7 linked regions of the Sus scrofa genome follow. The protein of the gene in region 3 interacts with the protein of the main gene of each other region in a pairwise test. Links are inferred from orthologs where the notes say so. Each region holds a gene or a part of one and is shown on either strand. Other genes may lie near its edges.

Region 1 (3,500 bases), on a different chromosome or scaffold from region 3:
TAATTACATCAAAGGAAAATACGGATGAAAGTGAGACATGCTTTATGCTTTAAGAGGGCACACACTGGAGTGTGATAAGCTTTAACCTGAGGAGAATGAGCTCTACTCTGCTCTATTTCTGTTTACTTTGTACTAAATAATTAGACAATGGCCAGCATGGTCTGAAAAAAGTGTCAAGTAAGAAGATGTCTTTCTAACCTGGAACAAAATGCTCTTTCATTTGAAAAAAAGGAAAAGAGTAATTTTCATGTGGAAGATGTCCTAGAAAACCTTAAGCTTATTTTTACTATTCAACAGATTTCCCAACAAGTCTTTTTTCATAATAAAGTCAGGTTTAAATGCTGTATAATTTAAGAAGCCTTAAATAGAAGCAAGCTGTTTCAAATAGACTCAATATATTTTGTTCATCCCTCAATGTAAGTTCACTGATCTTATCTAATGCTGTTGAAAATCAAATAAAGACAGTTTTCTTAATTGCAACTACTTTACAATGTGATGATTTCTCAAAATGCAACTACTAAATGCAGAAGTACTGTCCATGAGATAGCACTATAATTACAAACTAGGAGTCTGAGAAATTTTAGGGAAAAGAAGGTATTCAATTTTTGAAAAAGCTAACTTGACTCAATTTTTCATAAGTCGTATAGATCAGGAAAGATGGTTCAGAAACATATGACAGCATGTCTTCTAAGCTGCTCTTTGATTCTTGGAGTACAGCTATGCGGGTTCCTGGAAAAGATGCAAACATTTTCCATATTGCAATGAATAGTGCCTTTGGAAAATAATGTATTAATTATTGTTTATTTGTTTGTTTAACAAAGAAAATTTATCCAAGCACTGATGAAGTATAATGGTGATAGCTGCTATTTATTGTGTTTACCGGGTGTTAGGCAATGTGGTCTTATTTATATCACCTCATTCAAGAGCCTATATAACCCAATGAAAGAAATATTCTTCCATTTCTACAATGAGCAGACTAACTTGGGCGAAAGCCAAGCCAAAGAGAAGCAGTGTTAGGAGTTAACCCTGCAAGTGATCTGATTCCAAAACCCAGGCTAATAACTACCATTCTCTATTGGCTCAGTAGTCAAATGTAAGAAGTGACAGTGCCACATGTTTAAAAATTGATAGGAAATGTGACTGACAAATGAATGATATAATTTATCTAAGAAGAGTTTTATAAAGCACTTAAGATACCAAAACTGGATGCATTGTTCAAGGTGAGATTATGCATTACTCGAGCACCAAAAAAGCTCCACTTCAGCAGAAAGTCTTGAGCCCTCTTCTTTAACGATCTTCCATTCTGTTTGCTGGTCTAAAAGTAAAGTGACAAAATGAAACTATAAAAATCTGTCATCTCATTATTACATGCTTCCTACATGTGATCAAACAGTAGATAAACTTTCTGACAAATGGACAGATGGCAAGGCATGCCATTTTATCATCAAATAAAATGAGTTGTTCTGGGATTTTCATTTTTGATCTGTCTTTGCTGCCATTTTTAAGGTTAATAGATCTTTATTCACTATGTTTTTGTCACCTAATAGAACTGGACAACAAAATGAAATAATTTACAAAGTATTTTCTCTCTTAATTTTCCTTTGACAGAGCTTTAAAAAGAGCAGAAGGTGAAGTGTGAAGGAAAGGTTATATATTTCTGTGAATGATTAACTCTGACTTCTCTGGTCCTGAATGATAATCTGTTTTCCTTCCAGGAGAAAAAAAAAGTCCTTACACTATAACTAGTTTCCTTGATATGGAATGGCTAACACCAACTGGTGATGGATATATTTGTTCTTATGGCCTTGTTTCATGATGGATGACTTGAAGGTTAACTGAAAGAGTTGAAGAAACCACACAGAAAACACAAAATACTGAGCTCCTAGAATTTAAAAATGTAGATATTTAAAATCATATTTTCTGTCAGCTTTTATGAAAGTGTGATTTTTAAGAAAAGGGCCAGATCTTTCCAGTTTTTCAGTTTCTCTCTCACTATTGATGTTACTCCACTGTAACTTTACTGACTGGTAGGGAAGGCATAGTGTCTTGCAGTCTGTCCGAAAATGATAAGCAGAATTCAGTCTATGCCTAGTGCTCTCAAATCTGCCATATGTCTAACCATGATATTTGATTTGCCTTATTTGCAGGGTTTCAAAAGCTTTTCAAAGCATTTTTACACACAGCCTGTTGCCATCCCCCATCATTCAAGCATTCAAGAAATTATAGCCAGTTTAGCATTTAGCATTATCAAAAAAAATTATTTTTAGAATTTTTCATTGAAAAATACCTTAATAACTCTCTGTTCTACCACAGTATCCAACCATTCGATAAAAGCCTCCACAGTGGCATTCTTCTTAAGCAGATCTTTCAGTTCTTGGAACACAGTGATAGAGTCATCTACCACGCAAAAAGAAAAAAAGAAAAAAAGAAAGCAGACTTTCACGCTCTACTTTGAACCCAAGAGAAAACCTACAACTAGAAATTATTAATAATCGCATAACATAAAAAGGAATGACAGGTAGATTAAATATGTTAAAGAAATCAATTTTATATCCTGAAAATGCTTAACAAAAAATCCTTAGTTCTTTACTTTTCAAAATTTTCATCATAAGTGTATCTGTCTTGGTATATATTGAAATATAAGTTTATATTTATACACTAGGGAAGAATAAGTTGTCACTAGTGATGATTATTCATTTTGATAATGAATAATAATGAAATGCAGTGCTTTCATTAAATGCAACAGATTAGTTGAAAGCTAAGGAATCAAGTAAGCTAGACCTGTGAATTTCCTGCTTTCTGAAATATCCTTTTTCTTTAGCAAAAATTAAATTCTGCCCTGAAGAATTATGCCATTTAAATGAATAATCTTTTATCATGTAAAAGTCAAAGGGGCAGTTTAGAACTATCATTTTATTAAAGAGTTTGAGGTTTACTGAATCCCAGAGGGTAATATAATATTATGTTAGGAAATAGAAAGCAGGGCTGAGGCTGAGGTTGAACCATCCCGAGAGCAGTGTGCTATAGCCTATAGGAGGCTGCACTTTTTTGTCTTTTCAGAGAGAAATGGTGGGAGAAAGACTGGGTTGTTATCACTTGAAAATGGAACCTGATTGTCTGGCCACACCTACTAGCTTGGTAAACTCTGTTAGATTGTCCAAACCTGAGCAGGGGATTTCTGCTTTGAAAAACAGTATTGCATTGAGATTTTTTGATATGCATTATGTCCCATAGGATGCCAAGAGTGTGAAACACATGGAAATGTGTATGCATATAACCTAAAACTCATGAAAACTCACAAAACTCAAAACCTATTTTGATTATTTCCAGGTTCCTATCTATCTAGGTTATTTCTAGGCCAGGAGATTATGGAGGGCTTTTATTTTCTTCTTAATATTTTCTGTATTTTCCAGGTTTTTCACAACCGTAAGCACAACTGGTTTTAAAATAGAGAATAACTTTTTAAAATTAAAAATATTCCTGTTAAACCGGGTTTCTCA
Region 2 (3,933 bases), on a different chromosome or scaffold from region 3:
ACCGATCAAAGGAAAGACAGTGGATAAAGAGGAAAGGTGACCCCCTCAGGGAATTTCCCCTCGAGAAGGTCTCACCACGCTCAAGATCTCTGGCATCTATGCCAACAGAGAAAAGAAATGGCATCACTGTCTATCAAGCGGGCCGAGGTGTTTACAAATAATAGAAACAATCCCTTGCACCTGCACAATTCAGGTGTCCTACAGTCCAAGGCACAGGCATTAATGTTCAGCACTACCAAGCCGGGCAGCTGTCCTATATTTCTACCATTCAGTTCACAGAACAATGTAATGGACAAAATGCCTTAAATGGGGGTGTGTGTGTGTGTGTGTGTGTGTGTGTGTGTGTGTACATTGCCTCTGATGTTATTTCTACTTCCCAATGTAAACCTATATCAAACTAAAATACCTTTGTTTAACTTCTTTTACTTTTTTTAATGTCCTAACATTTAAGTTGATCAATTTGCTCTTGATTTTTAAGCAGCTGAACAGGTTGCAATGGGAGGTTTCAGGTGCAAGCAAACTGGCACAACTGCTTTCAAACCAGCCACGTTCCCACTCAGCATTCTGGACAGAGAACTCAACTGTTCTTCCAAGACTCCCTACTCAGACTAACAGAACCTCCTTCCTCCGAACTCAGGCTCTGCACCTCCGTGTCTCCACGGACATCTCACCTCTGTGTATCCGTGGTCTCTTCCTTTACCCTTACTCCAAATCTAAGCAAATTCTGTGTTCCTCCACCAGCCCAGTGATGCTATCCCTCCTCTCTCTATTCCAAGATGGTGCTGCTAACTCTCACCTTCCCAGCACCTGCCTCATTTCAACCCGGCCTCCCTGCCTCCAGTTTTGCTCCCCTGTTCTAGGCCACCTCACATTGCTAATCTTCCAGAAGTGCTGGGATCATGTGACTTCCCTGTTTGACACCCTGGAGAACTCTCTCTTACTGTGGAGGGAGAGAGTTCACACTCCTTAGCCTGTCCTTCAAAGCCCTCTAAAGCCTGGCCACTGCCAATTCACTCTTTGTGAAATCCCGCTGCTCCCTCTTAAACCCCCAGTGCCCCCACCCCTGGCTGGCACCTGCACATGCTCAGAGGAAGTCCACCATCACTGCACCATCCCCTCTTCCTGCAAGTCCCTTCAGCACCTGGCTCCGTGTATTCAAATCTTCCATTCTTCAAAAGTCCAGATCTCTAAATGCCCTCCCTTACCACTTTAGATGGAAAGGATCCTTCACTCTTAACTCTGTGATACATGTTTTTTTCTTTGCTAGGCATTGTAGATGTTCAACACCCCCCCCCGCCCCCACCTCCCTGTACCGGGAACTTCCTGAGGGCTGGCCTCTGCCTGACCTCCCTGCATCCTTCGCAGGGACCGAGCACCATGCCATGGCCGCAGCAGTCACTACACAACACCCAAAACTTGGTATCAGTCAGCCTAGGTGTCTCCCTCTCCATGCTCGGACACCCTTCAGGTTGTCCTACTCAAAAGGTAGGGCCTTTTCCCAACGAAAATAGAATTTCCCGGCTACAGTCCCCAAACAATTCAATATTCTCCCTTGATCATGATGTCTTCCCATTTCTGAAATATTCCCAATGGGCACAGTTGTCATAGATCGCACCCTGCCAACAGGTCAGCCCTAAAAAGCAGAGGATGCTGAATTGGTCCGGGCTTCTCCACTCCACGTTTCTACGGGTGTGTGTGGGTGGGTGGGTATTAAAGATGAGGGTACACAGTAGCTGGTCGAAAAAGGCTCAAAGGACCTGCGCTGGCGGGGCGAGGCGGTCAAGGGAGAATCGGGGAGAATCCACCCTGTTGAATCCTGGCTCCAAACTTTTCCCTCCGTCAGCGCGGCACCCTCCTACCCGCCCTGATGCGACAGGGGCCGGACCGGAAGAGAAAAATGTGTCGGATGGGGAAAGCAAAGGTAGTTATTTTCGGAACTTAAGGGGATCCCCGACCGGCCCTTCTGGTTTCCAGGGATGCGCGGCCAGCGTCCGGCGCATCTTGGAGACCGAGATGGGGCAGAGACTGGGATGAAGATGCCGCTGCTGGTGCTGGTGCTGATGCTGCCGCGCCGAATGACAGCCGCCCCCCCACCCAACCCGGGGGGCGGTGAGCGCCCGGCTCCGCGCTCCCAGGGACGCTTGGCGCGACCAGCGCCTCCGGCCCGCTCCGGCCCCAGGCGGGGCCTGCGGGCTGCGCCGGGCGGCGGGGCCCGCGGCAGCTACTCACCCGGAGGGTTGACCGCCGCCGGGGTTGCCATCTTGCTCGGAAGGCTGGGCGCGCGCCGGGCGGGGCGCGGAGGGGCGGCGCGGAGCCCGGCGCCCCCCGGGGCAGGCGCGGCCGGCGCAGGCCCAGGCGCCGCCGCCACCGCCACCGCCGCCGCCACACAAAGGACGGCGCGGGCGGGCGCTGCCTCCGCGCTCTCCCGCCGCCGCGGCCGCCCGCCGCCCCCGCCTTTATCGCCTCCGCCCCCTCCCTGGCCGCCGCCTCCTCCCGCTCCTGTCTTTGTCACGCGGCGGGGGGCGCGGGTTCGCGGCTCCCCGGACCAGGCCGCAGCACCGCGAGACTTGGGGCCGCGGGTGGCGGGACCCCCGAGTCGGGGGTCCGCCCCCTTGAGCCCGCGCAGGTGCTCGGCCTGCCCCGGCTGGGACTCGAGGCGCGCCTCTTCCCTACTGACTGGGTCCCCCACCCCAGGTGTCCGGGATGCATCACGGAGGGCGCTGTCCCTAGGCCAGAAGGGCCAGGGCGGGGGCGGGGAGGGGGGCGGCGTGGATGCGCAGCCCATTAAGATGCAGAGGGAAGCGGGTCCTCAGAGCCGGTGGCGAGGAACAAAGGCGCCCCAGTGCTGCCCACTTAGCATGCCAGGGCTGCGCTGCTGGGCTCCCTGGGCCAGAGCCATGGCCCCCGCGCTCAGGAACTCCTAAGGCCACGGACACCTCCAAGGCCACCGCCTCAGACAGCTTCCAAGTACACTACGTAAACACCCAGGCAGAGGCCACCGGCCCGGGGAAATAGAGAATGACTTGGCTTTGAGAAAGGCTGTCAGCTCTGCTTTCCTTCTTGCATGGTGACCGTCATTGGTTATTACCCGAAGTTGTTGCAAGAGCCTTATTTATGCAGCCACCTCATAAAGATTCTTTAAATGGCTTTTGTCTGCATATCCTGGTGAAGTTAAGCTTGAAGGGATTGTTTCTCTGCCAGACCCTAGGATGCCTGTGGGGAGATCTTGGCTCTTAGGAAAAAAACGACACTATAGTGGCGCCCTGCAAAGGGCCCATGGAAGAATGAACACATCCCAGGTGAGAGCCGCCAAGGGCAAGATGGCCCCTAAATGTAGACATGTTTGCCAAAACCATCAGTTTGTCTTAAATCCTTCCAAAGAAGCCTTTAGGGGGTGGAGAGACTCATAGAGAAAAAATGCTTGGGATGTATTTTCAAATAAGCACTGTCTTCCGGGGAGTATTTGTCACTATTGATTTGACTAATAGGCGCTTAATGATATTCATTTGTTTATCGATTCCACGAAGTTGAATGTCTGCTGTGTACCAGGCACAAAGCTAGGTATTGGGTGCACCATGGAAAGAGAACCACGGGGGATCTGTGGTTCTCTAGTCTGGGGTGGCCAGGAGAAGAGCAAAATAAGGTATTTGCATCAAGAAGCGCACAGCTGCCTGGGGAGGCACTGTGGTCCCTGGTGAATGACTGAGGGCGGAGAGAGGGTAGAGTGAGTGGGAAAATGCAAAGCAGGCTTTGCAGAAATGAGCAGGATATGAAGAGGTGGGAAAGAAAGACACTTCGAGGGAGGACCAAGGCATGTGTGGATCTGGTGTCAAGATGGTCAGGCTAGGGTAGAGAGAGGACAACTCAGGTATCAGCTGGGACCACCCCATGCTTGTTTCAAGGGGCTGCTCCTGATTTCCCCAACATCAGCCA
Region 3 (3,500 bases):
CCACTCCTGTGTGGCCTGGTGGAGCGATGATGGTGGTGACTGGGTAAGGGGGCCCTGCTTGGCGCCGCACGCTCCGGCAGAAGCTGGAGGTCTTGTTGGTCTGCGTGTGGGTGGCATAGTTGACAGTGTAGTTGTACCCCAGAGGAGCCAAGTCCACGAGCTGGTTGCCCCTGGCCACCTGCTGCTCCAGGTAGTCACAGATGCTGGCTTCATAGGGTGTCCAGGAGCCTTCATCACTCAGCCACTCCCAGACGATGCCCCGGCCTGGGGCTGAGTGCTGCGGAAACAGGTGCCTCCGCACAGCCCGCATGGTGCCTGTTTTAAAAGGAGTATTACATGTAAATGGCTAATCTGCTAGACAACCCCACCTCCAAAACAAAGAGAGTTTAAAAATTATTTTTTACCTGCAACCAAAGTAAAACAACATGATCACAGTGTATATCATGCTGCTGTTTGACTTAAAGGCTGGCATTGATCATTTCTCCAAATTTGGGGTGAAGGGCAGAGAGCTCTATGCAAAGAAACTGTGGACCAAAGGGATCAAGATGGCAGAGGGGGACCAGCGCTTCTCAGCAGGACTGGGGGACGCTGCAGATGCAGGTCAAAGACCAGCTGTGGCTCAGACTCCAGGAGGCTTCACAGAATATTCCTAATGAGCAACTAGAGATTATCACCCTAACTGAAGTAAGTCAGAAAGAGAAAGACAAACACCACATGATAGCCCTTGTATGTGGAATCTAAAATACGACACATGGAGAGTTCCTGTTGTGGCGCAGCGGAAACAAATCCGACTAGGAACCATGAGGTGGCGGGTTCAATCCTTGGCCTTGCTCAGTGGGTTAAGGGTCCAGCATTGCTATGAGCTGTGGTGTAAGTTGCAGACACGGATCAGATCTGGGGTAGGCTGGTACCAACAGCTCCAATTGGACCCCTAGCCTGGGGACCTCCATATGCTGTCGGAACGGCCCTAAGAGGACAAACAACTAAATAAATAAATAAAATAAAATATGACACATGGGAAGTTCCCGTCGTTGTGCAGCGGAAACAAATCCAACTAGTATACATGAGAATGTGGGTTCGATCCCTGGCCCTGCTCAGTGTGTGAGTGATCGGCATTGCCGTGAGCTATGGTGTAGGTCACAGACGTGAAAACTAAAATATGACACACACACGGGAGTTCCCACTGTGGTGCAGCGGGTTAACGATCTAGCTTGTCTCTATGGAGGTGCTAGTTCTATCTCTGCCTAGCACAGTGGGTTAAGTATCTGGCATTGCTACAGCTGTGGTGTAGGTCACAGCTCTGGCTTGGATTGATCCCTGGCCCAGAAACTTCCATATGCCAAGGGTGTGGCTGAAAAAAGACATGAACCTATCTACAAAACAGAAACAGACTCCCAGACATACAGAACACATCTGTGACTGACAACAGGGTGGGAGGAGGGAGTGGGAGGAACTGGGTGTTTGGGGTTAGTAGCCAAACGAGTCCATTTAGAACGGATAAGCAACAAGGTCCTACTGTAGAGCACAGGGAACTATATCCAATCTCCTGGGATAGACCATGATGGAAAATAACATATAAGAGAATGTGTGTGGAGGAGTTCCCATCGTGGCTCAGTGGTTAACGAATCTGACTAGGAACCATGAGATTGAAGGTTCGATCCCTGGCCTTGCTCAGTGGGTTAAGGATCCGGTGTTGCCGTGAGCTGTAGTGTAGGTGGCAGACGTGGCTTGGATCCCGCGTTGCTGTGGCTCTGGCGTAGGCCGGTGGCTATGGCTCCAACTGGACCCCTAGCCTGGGAATGTCCATATGCCATAGGAGTGGCCCTTTCTAGGCAAAAAAAGACAAAAAAAAAGAATGTATGGTGTGTTTGTACATGTATAACTGAGTCACTTCTGCTGTATAGGAAAAACTGGCATAATGCTGTAAGTCAGCTATAATTAAATATATATATTCCTAATGATAAAACCTATGTAGCCTGATTTAAAAAACTGAAAACAAAATGTCTGAAGAAAATCAAATCATCCATAGTCCAGCCACACCCAGAGGAAAGCAGGTAATTTCCACTGCAGTGTATTCCTTCCCATCTCGTCTCTGTCTCCTAAGCAGGTACATTCAGGTGAGGCTGACAGCCATACTGAAAACTTCTCCCATTTTCATGTATGATGCTGTAAGTATTTCTTAGGTCTCTAAAGCTTTGTAAAACTCATTATTAACTGTTGCCCAATTCTCTTTCATGGCTGTACCATTCCCTTGGACTTCTCAGGCAGCAACTATTAGGAAACACCTGTGGTTAGCTTATATTAATAAACCAAACCTGAAGATTAAGGCGAGAAAGAAAAAATCCCTTTGAGCCACGCTTCCAACAGCACTTGCCAAAAGGTGATCATTGCAATTGCCCTGGACCTCGACCACGGCCCTGCCTCCATCCACAGCTAGAGAGAGACTCTTACGCCCCAAATCGGATGGCGTCACTCTGCCCAAACCCTCTCAGGGCTCCTCCTTTCAGGAGAAAAGCTGAAGTCCCTTCAAGGGATGGAAAAGCCCTGTAAGACCTGCTGCCCTCCTGGTCTGTCCAGCCCTTCCTGGTGACCAGGCCACCTGAGCTCAAACTTCAAATCAACCTCTCCCTACAGTCCTGTACCTACAAAGGCCAGGGATGCGGCTAGACAGCCTACAATGTAGTCCCGCCCCAGAGTCCTGACAATCAACAATGTCTGCAGACACTGTTCCACGTCCTAGAAGACAAAATCACCCCCAGTTGAGAACCACTGATTCAGACAACAGGGGACAGACCTGGGAAGAAGCTGGTAGCCCCATTCTCAGTAATACTGATCAAAACACACACACAGGGAGTTCCTTTTGTGGCTCAGCGGTTAACGAACCTGACTAATAACCATGAGGTTGTGGGTTCGATCCCTGGCCTCACTCAGTGGGTTAAGGATTCGGCATTGCTGCGGCTGTGGTGTAGGCTGGCAGCTACAGCTCTGATTCGATCCCTAGCCTGGGAACTTCCATATGCTGCGACTGCAGCCCTAAAAAAGCAAAGCAAAGCAAAGCAAAACAAAACAAAACACACGCACACACCCACACACAAAAGAAACAAGAAAGTGAAGTAACCTGCCCAGGTGCACAGGAAAGTGAAGTAACCCGCCCAGGTGACCCAGCTATCACACAAAAGCCAGAACTCAATGCCAGGCCCTCTTAACTAGCATGCCGTGCCACCTCCATGCTGGCTGGCCTGCCTGCCGCCAGCCAGACCCTCTCAACTCTGCCGACGCAAGCATGTATTTCTGGTTTGGAAGACAAGGAGGAAAGGGGCTGGGAGGGCCTCTGCACTGCATCCACAAGACACCCTCTACCACTAAGCAGGTAAACTCACACCTGTGTTACCTATCACTCACAACAGCCGCCTCCTGACTGTTTCAGGGGCAGGAGGACCCTCAGCATCAATTCTGTGCCCTCAACACCTAGCCCAATGCCCAGTCTGAAGCAGGCACTT
Region 4 (3,500 bases), about 110 kb from region 3:
GTTCTGCAGATGCTCTTCCCTATGACAGATGAGAGTGAGAAAGGCCAGGGCTGAGGAAGGGCCCCAGGACTCCAGGACCCCATCTTTCTTTTGCAGAAAACACACCGGTTCATTTACTACACCGACACTGGCTGGGCTGTGGGGGCCGAGGAGTCCGACTTTGAAGGCTGGGCCTTCCCCTTCCCCGGGGTGACGCTGATTGAGGACTTCGTGACCCGGGAGGAAGAAGCCGAGATGGTGCAGCTGATGGACCGTGACCCCTGGAAGCTCTCACAGTCTGGACGGAGGAAGCAGGTAGGTCGGTGCAGAGTGGGGGAGGAGGGCCGGCCAGTCACGCAGGCCTTTGGGGACAAGCCCGCCTGATCTGGGGGGTCAGGGGGGCCAGGCTACTGAAGGGGGTGTGTGTCACGGAAGGGGCAGGGCCTGCTCACTTTCCTGATGAGACCCCGCTGGCAGGGCGGGCTCAGGCAGACGGCCCTGAGCTCTTCCCACCCTCTCCCCAGCTGCCCAGGGCTGGTGCCCATCACGAACTGTTTCTTTTTATTTATTTATTTATTTTGTCTTTTTGCCTTTTCTTGAGCCGCTCCCGTGGCATATGGAGGTTCCCAGGCTAGGGGTCTCATCGGAGCTGTAGCCACCAGCCTACACCAGAGCCACAGCAACGCGAGATCCGAGCCACGTCTGCGACCCACACCACAGCTCACGGCAACGCCGGATCCTTAACCCACTGAGCGAGGCCAGGGATGGAACCCGCAACTTCATGGTTCCTAGTCGGATTCGTTAACTACTGGGCCACGACGGGAATTCCCATGAATAGTTTCTTGAAGGTCACCAGGTGCCCCCTCCCGTCCCAAGTTTTCTCCCCATCAGTTTCTCATCTCCTCATGCCTGTTGCCACTGATGCTCAGGCGTCCACATCCTGAACCTTCTCTTTGTTGGGGATCACAGCCCCTCCTCCTTGGGTCCACTCCTCTCTCCTGTTCCTCATCTCCAGCAGCCCTCGCCCCCTCCGGGACCTGCCATCAGCCACCTTTCCCTCCTCCTGTCACCTGGCCTCCCCCATCCTCAGTCCCTCGCCCCTTCCCTCTCTCAGTGTCAGGCCCTTCCGCTCCGCCACAGCCCCAGCGGGTCCAGCTGCCTCCCCACCTGCCCCCGGCCTCCCGGCTCTGGCTCTCCACCCAGAGCAGGCTCTTCCTGCTCAGCGGTCCAGCCGACCTCCTGCAGGCCCTCCACTGACGACCGCGCCTCTCTGGGAGAATCGGTGCCTCCACAGGGGTGCCCGTGTGCACACTGCCCCCTTCTGCCTGCGCCCAGCTTCTCTCCGAGGCCCCCTCCAGCTGCGAGCCGGCTGCCAGCCCCTCTTCTCAGAAGCCCTCGTCCCCGTCCCTCCCCTCTCTCCTCAAGGGCGGATCTTCCTGGCCTCCCAGGAAGCTCCGTTTCTCCCGTCTCTGCAGCAGAGCTTCTCAAAAGAGTTATTTCCGCTCTCCTTGCTTAACCCACAAGAAAACCGCCACGCCTCAACTCAGCGGCCAGTTGTCGGTGGGCCCGGCTTGGCAGCTGGGCTCCCCACTCGTGTCTGCAGCCCCTAAGCTGAGCTGTGGCAACAGGTCCAGACCCACAGCCCTGCCTCGTCTCCATCTTGGCAAGTTCCATCTTCCACTGCCCAGGCCAGAAACTGTGGATCTTTCCAGATTCTTCTCTATCTTTCCCTGGTAATTCCTGTCAGCTCTTTGTTTCTTCAAAACATATCCTGAACCTGAGACCATCCCCCGACCCCTCGCTGCCGCTGCAGCCCCAGCCCCTCTGAAGTCTCAACAGGGAGGAAGTGACCCCACTGACACCTGGTCGATTGAGTCACTGCTGTGTTCCAACCCGCCAGACCTCCCGTCTCAGCATAGACACAGAGGCCTTCTCATGCCCCGGAAGACCCTGCACTGGCCACCAGCCTGAATTTTGTCTCCACTTTCTGGGGTCAGGTGGCCCTCTGGGGCTGGCCGGCCTGGCACTGAGCGGTGGGGACGGGGAAGGGGCGAGACTCCCCTCCAGATGGAGCCACCCTCCACTCGGGGTCCCCTCACCTCAGGCCACAGATCTGCGGTTCATTCTCCAGGGCTTCTCCCTAGTGCTGTTTTGGTTTGGTTTTTATTTATTTATTTTATTTTTTAAGTAACCTTTTTTTTTTGCTTTTCAGGGCCTCACCTGCGGCACATGGAGGTTCCCAGGCTAGGGGTTGAATTGGAGCTCCAGCTGCTGACCTACACCACAGCCACACACACAGCAACTCAGGATCCAAGCCACATCTGTGACCTACACCACAGCTCACAGCAACGTGGGATCCTTAATCCACTGAGCGAGGCCAGGGATCGAACCTCATGGTTCCTAGTCGGATTCGTTAGCCACTGAGCCATGACGGGAATGCCTTAAATACATTTTACTGGAGTAAGCATATTTGACTTAGTTTTGTTTTTTAGTTAGAATCCACCTACCGTAAACCCACCCATTTCAAGGGTACAAGGCGCTCCTTTGGTTTTCAGCGTATCCACAGTGCTATGCAGCCATCACTACTCTCTAGTTCTGGAACATTCTCATCACCCCAGAGGAAACCCATACCCATTACCAGTCACTCCCCCCATTCCTTCATCCCCCAGCAACCACTAATCTACTTCCCATCTCTTGGATTTGCCTCTTTGGGACAGTCCAATGCCTGGGATTCTGTAATCCGTGGCCTTTGAGTCAGGTGTCTTGGACCGGGCTCAGTGTTCTCAGGGTTCTTCGCTTTGCCGCCTGTATCAGGGCTTTGGTCCTTTTGGCAGCGGAACGTCCCATTGTGTGGCTAGACTGCCATTTGTTCGTTGTTCCTCTGCTGGTGGACACTTGGGTTGTTTCCACATTTTGGCTGTCGTGAATATTGCTGTGAACATTCGAGCGTCGGTTTCTGTGTGGACACGTGTTTTTTTTTTGGCGGGTTTTGTTCTGTTTTTTAATCTCAGAATTCTTTTTTTTATTCTTTTCTCTTTTGGCCACCCCCCAGCATATGGAGTTCCCGGGCTGGGGGTCAGATCCAAGCTGCCATTGTGACCTATGCTGTAGCTGGGGCAAGACAGGATCCTGAACCTTCTATGCTGGGCTGGGGGTCGAACCTGTGTCCCTGCACTGCAGAGATGCTGCCGATCCCCCTGTGGTACAGCAGGAATGCCTGGATGTGTGGTTTTGATTGTCTTGAGGGGAAGCTGGGACTGGAACCGCAGCTGGGTCCTGTGGAAACGGATCTCGTCTGTAGTCCCGAAGCCCAGCTGTGCCCCGTGTGGACCCGCCGGGTACGGCTGCCTTGGGCTGGCCTGCCCTGCCTCGCTGCTCTTCCTTCCAGAGGCCTGACTCCTCAGCACCACATCCTGGACGCCACCCGCCCCCAGCCTCTTGTCTCTGGCGCTGCTTCCTGGGGAACCTGGGCAGAGACATGTCCCTGGCATTTCATACCCCCACCACCCCCGCTTTAGTTT
Region 5 (3,500 bases), on a different chromosome or scaffold from region 3:
GAACTCTGTCCTCTCCAAGCCTCAGTTTCCTTATCGGCAAAACAAATAGGATCGGACAGTCCAGAGCCCCACCTTCTAAAGCCTCTGTGCCTGTGGTTCAAGGCCAAGGGTCTGAGAGAGGGGATTCTGGGCGGCTCCTGCCCAGAGAGGGTCACGGGCGCTGGGGGTGCCTCTTCCTCCCGCCAGATGTGGAGTCAAGCTCTCCCTCTGGCCTTACCCTGTCCCTCCTGCCTGGTCGGTCCCATTTCTGGCCCTCCCCTCCCCCTCCTTCCCCATCCCTCACCCCTGCGTCTGCTTAGCTACCTGCTTCTGCCCATCACCACCTGCCCAAGGTGCGTCCTGACCGGGCAGCTCAGCATTTACCCCCATCCCTCTCTCCCTGCCGCAGGACGGGCGGATTGAGTTCTCCGAGTTCATCCAGGCGCTGTCGGTGACCTCGAGGGGAACCCTGGACGAGAAGCTGCGGTGTAAGTCCTGCCCGCTGGGCTCCGTCGGGCGGCCGCTGGGTCGTCCTGGGCTGGAGGGAGGCCAAATCTCTGGGCCAGGCCGTCTGTCCAGGACTGAGGGTGGCACAGACGTCCTGCCCTTCCAGGTCGGAGGTGGTTTCCTGGAGGCGGCCAGGCGGGTGGACAGATGGGGCAGGAGCACAGGGCATTCTCGAAGGTGCACCTGGCGCCGGGCAGCGTGCGGTTCAGACCCGGTTCCAGGGCTGGATCCAGCACTCGGGAGGCTGTTTGGATGACTGACGGCGTGTGTCCATTTACTGGTTCACCTAACAGTTATTGACCTAACGTGGCCTCATGTCTGTGCTGGGCTGGAGGCCCGGAATCCACAGGTGTATGAGATCGAGGGGCACCTGCTCTCGTGGCTGTCCCTGTAGCTCAGGGACTTTATCCAAAAGAGCCCATAAAACTGCAGCCGGGGCTGGAAGAGGGAGGTGTGAGCCGATCAGAGAGGAACTGACCCTGTTATGAGTTGGGAGCCGAGCTGGGAAGGGTGAAGCTGGCAGGGGGTCGGGGGGCGGGAAGAGGGTTCCAGGCAGGGGATCAGCATGTGCGAGGCCTGAGGAGGGTCGAGAGAAGGCTACTGGGGGAGAGGCTGCACCCGTGCTGGCGCGAGAGGGGATCTAGCAGGAAGATGAAAGCAGCTGGGCCGGGATTCACTTCCCACTGAGACAACTTCACCGCATCGCATCGGCACCGAGAAAGCACTGCAATTTCTTTCTTTCTCTTTTTAGGAATAAAAGAGGATTTTATTTATGCCAAAGCTCCTCCCCCCTCCCTAGGCATATTATTTTCTTTTCCAAGTTGACCCTAGCTGGATCCAGCATAGTTGTGGAAAGGGGGTGGGCCGAGAGGAGGCAGAGGCAGGGGTGGGGAAGGAGAGGGGTGGCTTTAGGGCTGCTCCTGGGCTCCCTTCTGTCTCTCAGCATCAGCCTCCGAGGCCTCAGCTCTTACAGACCCAGCCCCCTCGGTTTATGTTTTGGCTGTGCCTGCGGCCTATGAAAGTTCCCAGGCCAGGGATCGAACCTGCACCACAGCAGTGACCCAAGCTGCTGCAGTGACAAGGCCAGATCCTTAACCCGCTGCACCACAAGAGAGCTCTGCCCCCTCCTTTTTACATTTACGCTTTTTCAGTAACTAGGTGACATGGTGTGTGTGTGTGTCCCCTGTCTGTCTTGGCGGGATGAATAACGGGGCTGTTGGCGGGGTGCCGAGGGGAGGGGGAGCGGCCGCCAGCCCAGCCCCGGATCAGGGCTCACTCGCCCTGGCTGCTTGACTGCAGGGGCCTTCAAGCTCTACGACTTGGATAACGACGGCTACATCACCAGGAACGAGATGCTGGACATTGTGGATGCCATTTACCAGATGGTGGTGAGAGGCCTGGGCCCTGGGGGTGTGGGGGTGGGGGCAGCAGCAGGGCATCAAACTCAGCGATGGGGCCTGGCCCAGAGGCGGCATCCCCACGCGGCCGCCCTCCTGCCTGGGGTGGGAGCTGGCAAGTGAGGGTCACTGCCTGGGGTTGCTCTGTGCCTCTTGGGGGAGGGCGGGGGCTGCTGATGGGGCTGGTCCAGAGCAGAGGGCGGATGGGGGCACGGCAGGGAGTGGGAGGGAGACGCAGTCTTCACCTGGAACCAGTTCAGGTCTGGGGGGCATGGTTGGGGGCCAAGGGCCCAGAGGGCAGAGGGCCAGGAGCCGGCCCCACCTCGCCTGTCCCCGACAGGGCAACACCGTGGAGCTGCCAGAGGAGGAGAACACCCCCGAGAAAAGGGTGGACCGGATCTTTGCCATGATGGACAAGGTGAGACCCCTGGTGTGATGGCCACTGGTCCAGCCCGCAGACATGCAGGGTTTTAAGTCAGTTCGTCCAACCCTTTTTCCTTAACTCAGCTTCTTAACCTTTTCAGTTTTTGCCACAGACCCCTTTGACATTCTGGAGAAGCTGTCTCAGAATGTTTTTAAGTGCATCAGATAACATTCGTAGGGTCAAAAAGAAAGCTATTTTGGAAGAGACTTATCCCATTTTTTTTGGCCACACCTGTGGCATGTGAAAGTTCCCGGGCCTGGGATTGAACCGGTACCATAGCAGTGACCTGAGCTGCTGCAGTGACACCACCAGATCCTTAACCTTCTGTGCCACAAGAGAATGCCTCAAAATATTTTTTAAAAAGTATTTGTGATGTGGTTTTATATGAGCTGCTTCTTCTTTTTTTTTTTTCTTTTGTCTTTTTAGGGCCGCATCCGCGGCATGTGGAGGTTCCCAGGCTGGGGTCTAATCAGAGCTGTAGCCGCTGGCCTACACCACAGCCACAGCAACGCCAGATCCGAACTGTGTCTTCGACCTACACCACAGCTCATGGCAACGCCAGATCCGTAACCCACTGAGAGAGGCCAGGGATTGAACCTGCAACCTCATGGTTCCTAGTCGGATTCGTTTCCGCTGCACCACGATGACGGGAACTCCCTTTTTTTTGTCTTTTTAGGGCCGCACCTGCGGCATATGGAGGTTCCCAGGCTAGGGGTCTAATCGGAGCTGTAGCTGCCAGCCTACACCACAGCCACAGAAACAAGGGATCCGAGCCACATCTGCTACCTGCACCACAGCTCACGGCAACGCTGGGTCCTTAACCCACTGAGCGAGGCCAGGGATCGAACCCACAACCTCATGGTTCCTAGTCAGATTCGTTAACCACTGAGCCACAACGGTGGCTGATAAGGTTGAGTGGTGGGTTTAACCAGCCCGAATTTCAAAGTGCTGATCTGTCTTCTTGATGCTTTGCAGCAGCTGTGATGTGTTACAAAAATGCTGTGATCTCCACAGCTGACAAAGTCACAGGTACTTCTGGTTCCATGGGGGATTGTCACCTAGATTCATTATGGAAGGAAGCGCTAAATTTCAGTTAGATGTTAGTGAAAAGAAAGACCTCCTTTTTCCCTATTTTAGTTCACAGACCTGCTGAATTCTATCCAAAGACCCCAGGTTAAGAAAGCCTTCTTTTT
Region 6 (3,500 bases), on a different chromosome or scaffold from region 3:
TTCTAAGAAATCTCTGATATCTCTGTGTTGGGAAAAGTGTTTAGCTCACTAGGAGTAGATATGAACCCACAAATCTACAGATTAGGAGGTCTAAATAATTTTACCTCTAGTTCAGAATTAAGTTCTTCAAAGTTCTTGGGTCTCTGTTTACTTTTCTCTGAAATGGAGGCAACACATTCTTCAAAGAGTATTAAAAGAAAAAGCAGGAGTTCCTGCTCTGGCACAGCTGGATAAGGATCTAGCCTTGCCACAGTTGTTGTGTAAGTCACAGCTGCAGCTTGGATTCAGTCCTTGGCCTGGGAACTTCCATATGCCTTGAGTGTGGCTGGGAAAGGAAAAACAGTTTGTATCTGAAAGCTATCTCCTTTCTTAACTTCTCCACACTGAATTAACTAATTGCACAGAAATGTACTGATGGTATTAGTTCAAAATGTAAAATGTTTTATCAGAGATATTATCTTCCCCCCACTATACTATGAGTACCTCAAAAGCCTCTAAGTCAGTTTTTTTATCTCCAGCACATGGAGGAAATTCTTTAAATATTGTTGAGATAATGTGTGATTTATGCGTACTGTTGGAAAAATACTTAACACTGGATTTGCAAAGTGTTCTGGGTCTAGTATAATGTGTCATATGCCTTTCTTCTAAATATGGTACCTGAAAAGAAGAGTTGTATTTCACTAGCTTTTTACTTAGATTTACTTTGATTTTACAGTCATTTAACCTAAAGCGTAACCTCAAGGAGATTCCTGAAAACCAGGAGATGTGATTCTGTTGGACTAGTTGGTGAAGCACCAACAGGTCGCTTAGCCTGCTCTCCTCTAAGGATCTCATGTAGGACCTGAGAGACCAACACAGCTTGCACTTTGAGAGTGACCTGGGAGAGAATAGGCTAGTTTACTTTGTTGACTTCAAATCTCTGCCCACTGCTTGTCTAGCAAGCCCCAGCAAGATTGCAGAGTGTACCCCTGAATGGAAACAGCAACAGGTCTCATCTGTCACAATTCTACTTCCTCTTAGTTTTACCCATGAAAGCTAAGACTTTATTTTCTTGGTGTTACCAGCTCTTTGCTTCTGGTGATGAAGAATGTGGCCTTCAGGGCCTTGTACTGATGCCAGAGGAGTTGGAACCCTGGTACTGTCTTTGGGGGGGCTTTGCTGGCACCTTAGAGAGGAGGAATCAGCTAATGTGCTTGTCGCCCTGCAGCCATGAGGAGTGGAACCAGATGCAGAGCCAGGAGGATGAGGTGGCCATCACCGAACAGGATCTGGAACTCATTAAAGAGAGGGAAACAGCGATTCGGCAGCTAGAGGTGAGAACCAGGTCATGTTTTTTGTCTGACTCGTATCTGTAATCTCTAATCCACCTTGCTTTTTCTCTTGGTGATTATGAAAAAAGACGAAATGAGTTGTTGTGTAGTTTGCATATTATGTCTCAAGGTAATCATGGTGAGCTTGAACTACTCTTACGACAGTATTGGCTATCATGTCTGAGAATACCCCAATTCTTTTCTCAGTCATCATATCTTATATGGTCTGCATGAGAGTATGTATAGGGAATAGAGCAAGGCAAACAGATATTTTATTGCTCATTAAGACGCTGTCTCCAGAGTTCCCATCTTGGCACAGCGGAAACGAATCCGACTAGGAACCATGAGGTGCGGGTTTGATCCCCAGCCTCACTCAGTGGGTTAAGGAACTGGCGTTGCCGTGAGCTGTGGTGTAAGTCGCAGACGTGGCTCGGATCCTGCGTTATTGTGGCTCTGGTGTAGGCTGGCGGCTTCAGCTCTTATTCGACCCCTAGCCTGGGAACCTCCATATGCCAGGGAGCGGCCCAAGAAATGGCAAAAAGAAGAAAAAAAAGACGCTATCTCTGAACCTCAGTGCCAACCTCTGGGTTTGGTAGAGCTCTGCAGAGAGCTTAGACCGAATAGCCCCAAATAAAGGCAGGCCAAAATGTTTGCTCCGTTTTTGTGCATCCCAAAGTTCACTCTCAAGTTGTGGATATCACCTCAGTGGGTCAGAGAAATAGGAACAGTTTCTGAGGTAGGTGTTGAGGGAGAGGTATTGAGGCCTTTCTTAGCTGAGTTCCCCAACTTTAATTTTGCACAATGACCAGTAAAATATCCTTAAACCCAAGAACTTTTCTCATGGAGATAGAAGACTGCCATCCCTGGGGCAGTGGGGAGAGGAGGGTTGTAGAGAGAAACTTGGAGCTCTTCACTGACCTTCATCTGTGGCAGTGGTTCTGAACCCTGACTGCATTTTAGAATTATTTGGAGATTTAAACAATTTTTATTGCCTTCAAAGATGTCATATCTTTCCTTCCCCCCCACCCCCTTTTTAATGGCCGCACCAGAGGTATTGGGAAGTTCCTGGGCCAGGGATTGAATTCGAGCCACAGGTGCAGAACACCAGATCCTTTAACCTACTGCACCAGCTCGGGGATGGAACTTGTGCCTCTGCTGCGACACAAACCGCTGCAGTTGGATTCTTAACTCACTGTGCCACAGCAGGAACTCTTTTTCTCTTTTTCACCTATTGCTCCTAATCATCAGCTTGATTCTTTAACATTAGAAATACTGTTATAGCAGGGGTAGAGTTAGGGTTAAGGAGTGGACTGCAGTGTATGTCAGGAGTGTAGTGGGCACTGCACATTCAACAGAATTAAGGCCAGATTCCTTAGGGCTGGATTTTCATATCCAGTCATTTCCTGCATTTAACATACAAACCCTATTCTAATGGTGGAGTAACACACTCCTGTGTGTCTCTTCTGTTCTCAGACTATACCTTGACACTTCTGGCCCCCAAATGTGTGGGTTTTTTCCCCATCAAGCAATTCTGCCACACCACAGGGATGTCCTAATTTAACTCAATGCTGACGCTTTCTACCTGGAGTTAGTTACATCGGATCACACAGGTTGAGGTTTCAGTCCCACAGGACACGCACACACATACACACAGACACACAACTTCAGATACCAGTCACAAGTCCAGATTGTCCCCTGTGGTTCTGACTGACATGGAGGTTCTTGTGATCACCTTCCTTTAGTTTGATTAATTTGCTAGAGCAGTTCACACAACTCAAGAAAACAGCTTACTCCCTAGATTACCAGTTTATTATAAAAGGATACATCTCAGGAACAGCCAGATGGCAGAGAGGCACAGGGCAGAGTTTGTAGGAAGGGGCACAGAACTTCTGTGCCCTCTCCAGGTGTTCACCAACCAAGAAGCTCTCAGAACCCTGTCCCTTGGGCATGATTGATTAAATAACTGGGAGTTCCTGTCATGGCTAAGTGGTTAACGAATCCGACTAAGAACCATGTGGTTGCCGGTTTGATCCCTGGTCTTGCTCAGTGGGTTAACAATCTGGCATTGCTGTGAGCTGTGGTGTAGGTCGCAGATGCAGCTCGGATCCTGCGTTGCTGTGGCTTTGGTGTAGGCCGGTGGCTACAGCTCCGATTAGACCCCTAGCCTGGGAACCTCCACATGCCGTGGGA
Region 7 (4,111 bases), on a different chromosome or scaffold from region 3:
CATGGCCACAGGTACCATGGGGCCCAATCTGTTGGACAGAAAAGGATGCCCTTCCACCTACATGGTCAGACCCACCCCTGCTGAACACATGACTTTTGGCTCTGACATAACATAACCAGTCTTGGGTCACACCACCCACAGAGGTGAGAGCCGTGTGGCTGGAGCAGGCAAAGGCCAAGCTCCCACAGCTGAGGCCAAGTAGTCATTTTCCCCACTGGGCACAGTAAAGGCTAAAGAAGTCTTGAGGTGAAGGTCAAGAGGCCGCAGAGGAGTTTAGGGACAATAAAGTCCCAAAGAGCTCACCTCGAAAAAGGCATTACTGGAATGTGCATTGTGGCTCAGCAGTTTAAGAACCCAACATAGTGTCGTGATGATGATGGTTAGATCCCTGGCTTCACTCAGTGGGCTAAGTATCCAGCATTGCTGCAAACTGTGTTGTAGGTCGCAGATGTGGCTTGGATCTGGTGTTGCTATGGCTGTGGTGTAGGCCTGCAGCTGCAGCTCCAATTTGACCTCTAGCCCAGAAACTTCCATATGCCGCAGGTGTGGCTGTGACAAAGGAAAAAGATATTATTGGAGTTCCAGCTGTGATGCAGCAGGTTAAGGATCCTGTGTTGACAGAGGCATAGGTCACAGCTGCAGCTCAGATTCCATCTTGCCTGGGAATTTCCATATGCTACAAGTACAACAGAAAAAGAAAAAAAAAAGGCATTACTTTAATAAATGCCCACCATAAATGCTGACAGCTGACTGCAGCAGCAAGTGTGGACAGAGCAAGAGAAAGGGGCTGGGAATCAGGCTCCAGATCCACCACAAGGACAGCTCGATTTCTCTCATGGGGCCTCATGTGTAAAAAGAAAAGTGGAATGAGATTAAGACTAATAGTCTCCCCTGCACATCTCTGGACTCTCTGAAGCTGTCCACTGTTAACAATGGAACCCAAACATCATCTTATCCCACACTCAAAACACCCGGCAGGAGTTCCCATCATGGCTCAGGAGAAACGAATCTGACACTAGCATCCATGCAGACACAGGTTCGATCCGTGGCCTTGCTCAGTGGGTTAAGGATCCGGCGTTGCTGTGAACTGTGGTGTAAGTCACAGACACAGCTTGGATGTGGCATTGCTGTGGCTGTGGCAGACAGCTACAGCTCTGATTTGACCCCTAGCCTGGGAACCTGAACTTCAGGTGCAGCCCTAAAAAGACAAAAACAAAAAATAAAAAACAACCTGTCAGAAGTTCCTGCCCTGAAGCCCTGCATCCTCATGGTTACAGCAGGGGTTTGTTAACACCGAGCCACCATGAGCACTCCTTTTTTTTTTTTTTTTTTTTTTTTTTTTTTGCCACGACTACAGCATGAGGAAATTCCTGGGCCAGAGATGGAATCCACGCCACAGCCACAACTAGAGCCCCTGCAAGTGGCAACGCCTGGATCCTTAACCTGCTGAATCTGACTGCAGCAGCTCTGGTTGCTCATACAGGCAGGTTCGATCCTGGCCTGGTGCAGTAAAGGATCCTGCATCGCCACAGCTGCAGCATATTCAATCTATGGCCAGGGAAGGAGGGAGGGGAGGGAGGAAGGAAAAAACAAAAAGCAAAAAAACCTGGCAACTTCTAGCCTTCAGCCATTTAGTCTACATGAAACTCAGCTTTCCCGGAAGAGAACCAAGCATGCCCCAGATCAGCTGTGAAAGGCAACACAAAGGGATCCAAAATGGGCTCAGCTGTGGCCTAGGACCTCTGGGGCTGGGCCATTAGAATTAGAGGTAAAAGCCCTTTGGCATGTAGCAATAGTTGATTTTTCAGCCTGGGTGAACTTTGTACCAGTTTCTCTGATGGATAGGGGCCTAGAGGATCCCAGCCCAGGGCAGGGGGCGCCCAAGACTAAGGTAGCCAGATAAAGTACAAGTCACTCAGTTAAATTTGAATTTCAGATAAACAAGTAGTTTGTTAAATGTAAGAACCTCCATACCATGTTGGGGACATACCTATACTAAAAAAATTTTATTATTATTATTTGTCTTTTTAGGGCCCCACCCACCGCGTACTGAAGTTCCCAGGCGAGAGATCCAATCGGAGCTGTAACTGCCACCCTACACCAATTGTCACAGCAATGCCAAATTCTCCGAGCTGCGTCTGCAATCTTTGCCACAGCTCCCAGCAACTCGGGATCCTTAATCCACTGAGTGAGGCCAGGGATCCAACCTGCGTCCTCAGGGATACTAGCTTAGCCACCACCGGAACTCCTTTTTTTTTTTTTTTGGCCGCAACAGGAGCATGTGAAAATTCCCGGGCCAAGGGTGGAACCCACGCCACAGCAGCGACTAGAGCCGCTGCAAGGGGCAACGCCCAGATCCTTAACCCGCTGAGCCACAAAGGAACCCTTAAAAACTTATCTGTTGTTCACCTGAAATTCGAATTTAATTACACGCCCTGCCTTTTTATTTGCAAAACCCAGCAACTCAACTCGTGACAACGCCTCTCCTAAAACCCCCAGCGATCCTGCGCAAAACCCGGAAATACTGAGCAGACCCGCCTCGAGTCCTCCCCCCACCAAGCGGGGCTGGAGCCCTTTCCTCCTTCGCCTGTCCGCCCAGCCCCGGAAATGACGTTACCCTGGGGCCGAGGCCTCAGGCCAACACGAAGGAAATGGCTGCCGCGTAACGTCCAGTAGTGACCCGAGAAATAAAGGGCAGCAACCGCCGTCACCAAGCCCAAGGTACCCGGTGGCCCTGGCGGTGCGGACTTTACTGCCCCACAGCTCCAGGCCGCGGATCCCACCTTTCGTGACCGGAAGTCCCCCAAGGGGGCGGGGCGGAATCCGGAACTTTTAGTGCGTGGGGCGGGGCTGGGACTTCTAGGGAGAGCTGCTGGAGGATCCGGACTGGCATCTTGGATCGGGGTTTTGGCTCATCATTGACCGACTACATCCCCGGCTGAAGGCACTTTCAGGGTTCAGTGTCTTCATCTCCACAGTGGAATAATAATCCCCGCTTCACCGACTGCTGTAATCCGTCCCCCTCCTTTATTCTGTATTATCCCATCAGTCTCAAATCATTCCGACCTACTGTTAGGTGCCAGGCACTGGACTAATCAAGCGGGAGGAAAAATCACTCTACACAACCCATCCACTCTGGCGCCATATTAAGTCATCCTTTCCCCTCACCGCTGTTATTCCACAATTCTCCGGTTACCCTTTCTCCCTTGGGCGACCAAATCACAGCTCCAACTCAGCAAGAGAGTTCTGCTTCGTGGTTCTCGAACACACAGGCAGTGTGTAAACACGAAAGATCTTAGGCCTCCCACGGAGTCCCCGCTCTCACCCTGAGCCTGGCTTGTTACCTTCCCTTATACAAAAAGACAATTCCTGGAGTTCCCCTAGTGGCTCAGCTATAGCTAACGGACTAGTATCAACGAGGACGCAGGTTCCATCCCCGGCCTCACTCCGTGGGTTAAAGATCCCGCTTTGCTGTGGCTGTGGCATAGGCCCACCGCTACAGCTCCAATTCAACCCCTAGCCTGGGAACCTCCATATGCCCCGGTGTGGACCTTAAAAAAAAAAAAAAAAAAAAAAAGGTGCAGAAGGGTACATTGTTGTTACTAATGTTTTCTTCGGGAGAAATGCTTTTATTCATTCCTCCAACACTCAAGAGACGTTTCCTGAGTGCCTTCTAGGTGGACCAAACGCTCTGTCTAGCTGCTGGGATGAGTAAGAAGTGGTACTCTTAGTTGAGAAATTTCTGCTTTTGTAATTACATTCCGACAGTGCTGGGGGCCAGAAGAGGGGGTGTAAATTTGAGCATCCTCTCATTATTTAGTCCCAGACTCTCATAAACAGACACCATTTACTGTGCCAGCGCTGTTATATCAGACTGTTAGCAGGAGATATATTATCTTTTTCTTTTTAGTCTTTTTGCCATTTCTTGGGCCGCTCCCGTGGCACATGGAGGCTCCCAGGCTAGGGGTCGAATTGGAGCTGTAGCCACCAGCCTATGCAAGAGCCACAGCAACAATGGGGATCCAAGCCTCGTCTGTGACCTACACCACAGCTCACAGCAACGCCGGATCCTCAAACCACTGAGCAAGGCCAGGGATCAAACCCGCAACCT

What was found.
Region 1: the proteins of DTX2 (region 3) and RFX6 interact in binary tests that used the Homo sapiens proteins (3 or more experiments, as listed by UniProt). The two-hybrid records come from large-scale screens. The link is inferred for Sus scrofa from reciprocal best matches to the Homo sapiens genes DTX2 and RFX6.
Region 2: the proteins of DTX2 (region 3) and ARNT2 interact in binary tests that used the Homo sapiens proteins (3 or more experiments, as listed by UniProt). The link is inferred for Sus scrofa from reciprocal best matches to the Homo sapiens genes DTX2 and ARNT2.
Region 4: the proteins of DTX2 (region 3) and ALKBH4 interact in binary tests that used the Homo sapiens proteins (3 or more experiments, as listed by UniProt). The two-hybrid records come from large-scale screens. The link is inferred for Sus scrofa from reciprocal best matches to the Homo sapiens genes DTX2 and ALKBH4.
Region 5: the proteins of DTX2 (region 3) and NCS1 interact in binary tests that used the Homo sapiens proteins (3 or more experiments, as listed by UniProt). The two-hybrid records come from large-scale screens. The link is inferred for Sus scrofa from reciprocal best matches to the Homo sapiens genes DTX2 and NCS1.
Region 6: the proteins of DTX2 (region 3) and STX12 interact in binary tests that used the Homo sapiens proteins (3 or more experiments, as listed by UniProt). The two-hybrid records come from large-scale screens. The link is inferred for Sus scrofa from reciprocal best matches to the Homo sapiens genes DTX2 and STX12.
Region 7: the proteins of DTX2 (region 3) and GLYCTK interact in binary tests that used the Homo sapiens proteins (3 or more experiments, as listed by UniProt). The two-hybrid records come from large-scale screens. The link is inferred for Sus scrofa from reciprocal best matches to the Homo sapiens genes DTX2 and GLYCTK.

Annotation. Positions count from the first base shown.
Region 1 is NC_010443.5:44,773,721-44,777,220, forward strand, and holds part of RFX6 (DNA-binding protein RFX6), read right to left. Parts: intron 2,398-3,500; coding exon 2,288-2,397; intron 1,316-2,287; coding exon 1,198-1,315; intron 1-1,197. UniProt on the Homo sapiens protein: Transcription factor required to direct islet cell differentiation during endocrine pancreas development. Specifically required for the differentiation of 4 of the 5 islet cell types and for the production of insulin.
Region 2 is NC_010449.5:49,257,985-49,261,917, reverse strand, and holds the start of ARNT2 (aryl hydrocarbon receptor nuclear translocator 2), read right to left. Parts: upstream 2,801-3,933; 5' UTR 2,786-2,800; coding exon 2,230-2,785; intron 1-2,229. UniProt on the Homo sapiens protein: Transcription factor that plays a role in the development of the hypothalamo-pituitary axis, postnatal brain growth, and visual and renal function. Specifically recognizes the xenobiotic response element (XRE).
Region 3 is NC_010445.4:9,908,867-9,912,366, forward strand, and holds part of DTX2 (probable E3 ubiquitin-protein ligase DTX2), read right to left. Parts: intron 316-3,500; coding exon 1-315. UniProt on the Homo sapiens protein: Regulator of Notch signaling, a signaling pathway involved in cell-cell communications that regulates a broad spectrum of cell-fate determinations.
Region 4 is NC_010445.4:9,799,731-9,803,230, reverse strand, and holds part of ALKBH4 (alpha-ketoglutarate-dependent dioxygenase alkB homolog 4), read left to right. Parts: intron 1-96; coding exon 97-294; intron 295-3,500. UniProt on the Homo sapiens protein: Dioxygenase that mediates demethylation of actin monomethylated at 'Lys-84' (K84me1), thereby acting as a regulator of actomyosin-processes.
Region 5 is NC_010443.5:270,315,194-270,318,693, forward strand, and holds part of NCS1 (neuronal calcium sensor 1), read left to right. Parts: intron 1-388; coding exon 389-467; intron 468-1,785; coding exon 1,786-1,874; intron 1,875-2,223; coding exon 2,224-2,301; intron 2,302-3,500. UniProt on the Homo sapiens protein: Neuronal calcium sensor, regulator of G protein-coupled receptor phosphorylation in a calcium dependent manner. Directly regulates GRK1 (RHOK), but not GRK2 to GRK5. Can substitute for calmodulin. Stimulates PI4KB kinase activity.
Region 6 is NC_010448.4:84,949,827-84,953,326, forward strand, and holds part of STX12 (syntaxin-12), read left to right. Parts: intron 1-1,207; coding exon 1,208-1,313; intron 1,314-3,500. UniProt on the Homo sapiens protein: SNARE promoting fusion of transport vesicles with target membranes. Together with SNARE STX6, promotes movement of vesicles from endosomes to the cell membrane, and may therefore function in the endocytic recycling pathway.
Region 7 is NC_010455.5:34,432,092-34,436,202, reverse strand, and holds the start of GLYCTK (glycerate kinase), read right to left. Parts: upstream 2,801-4,111; 5' UTR 2,618-2,800; intron 2,427-2,617; exon of another isoform or gene 2,410-2,426; intron 409-2,409; exon of another isoform or gene 304-408; intron 194-303; exon of another isoform or gene 1-193.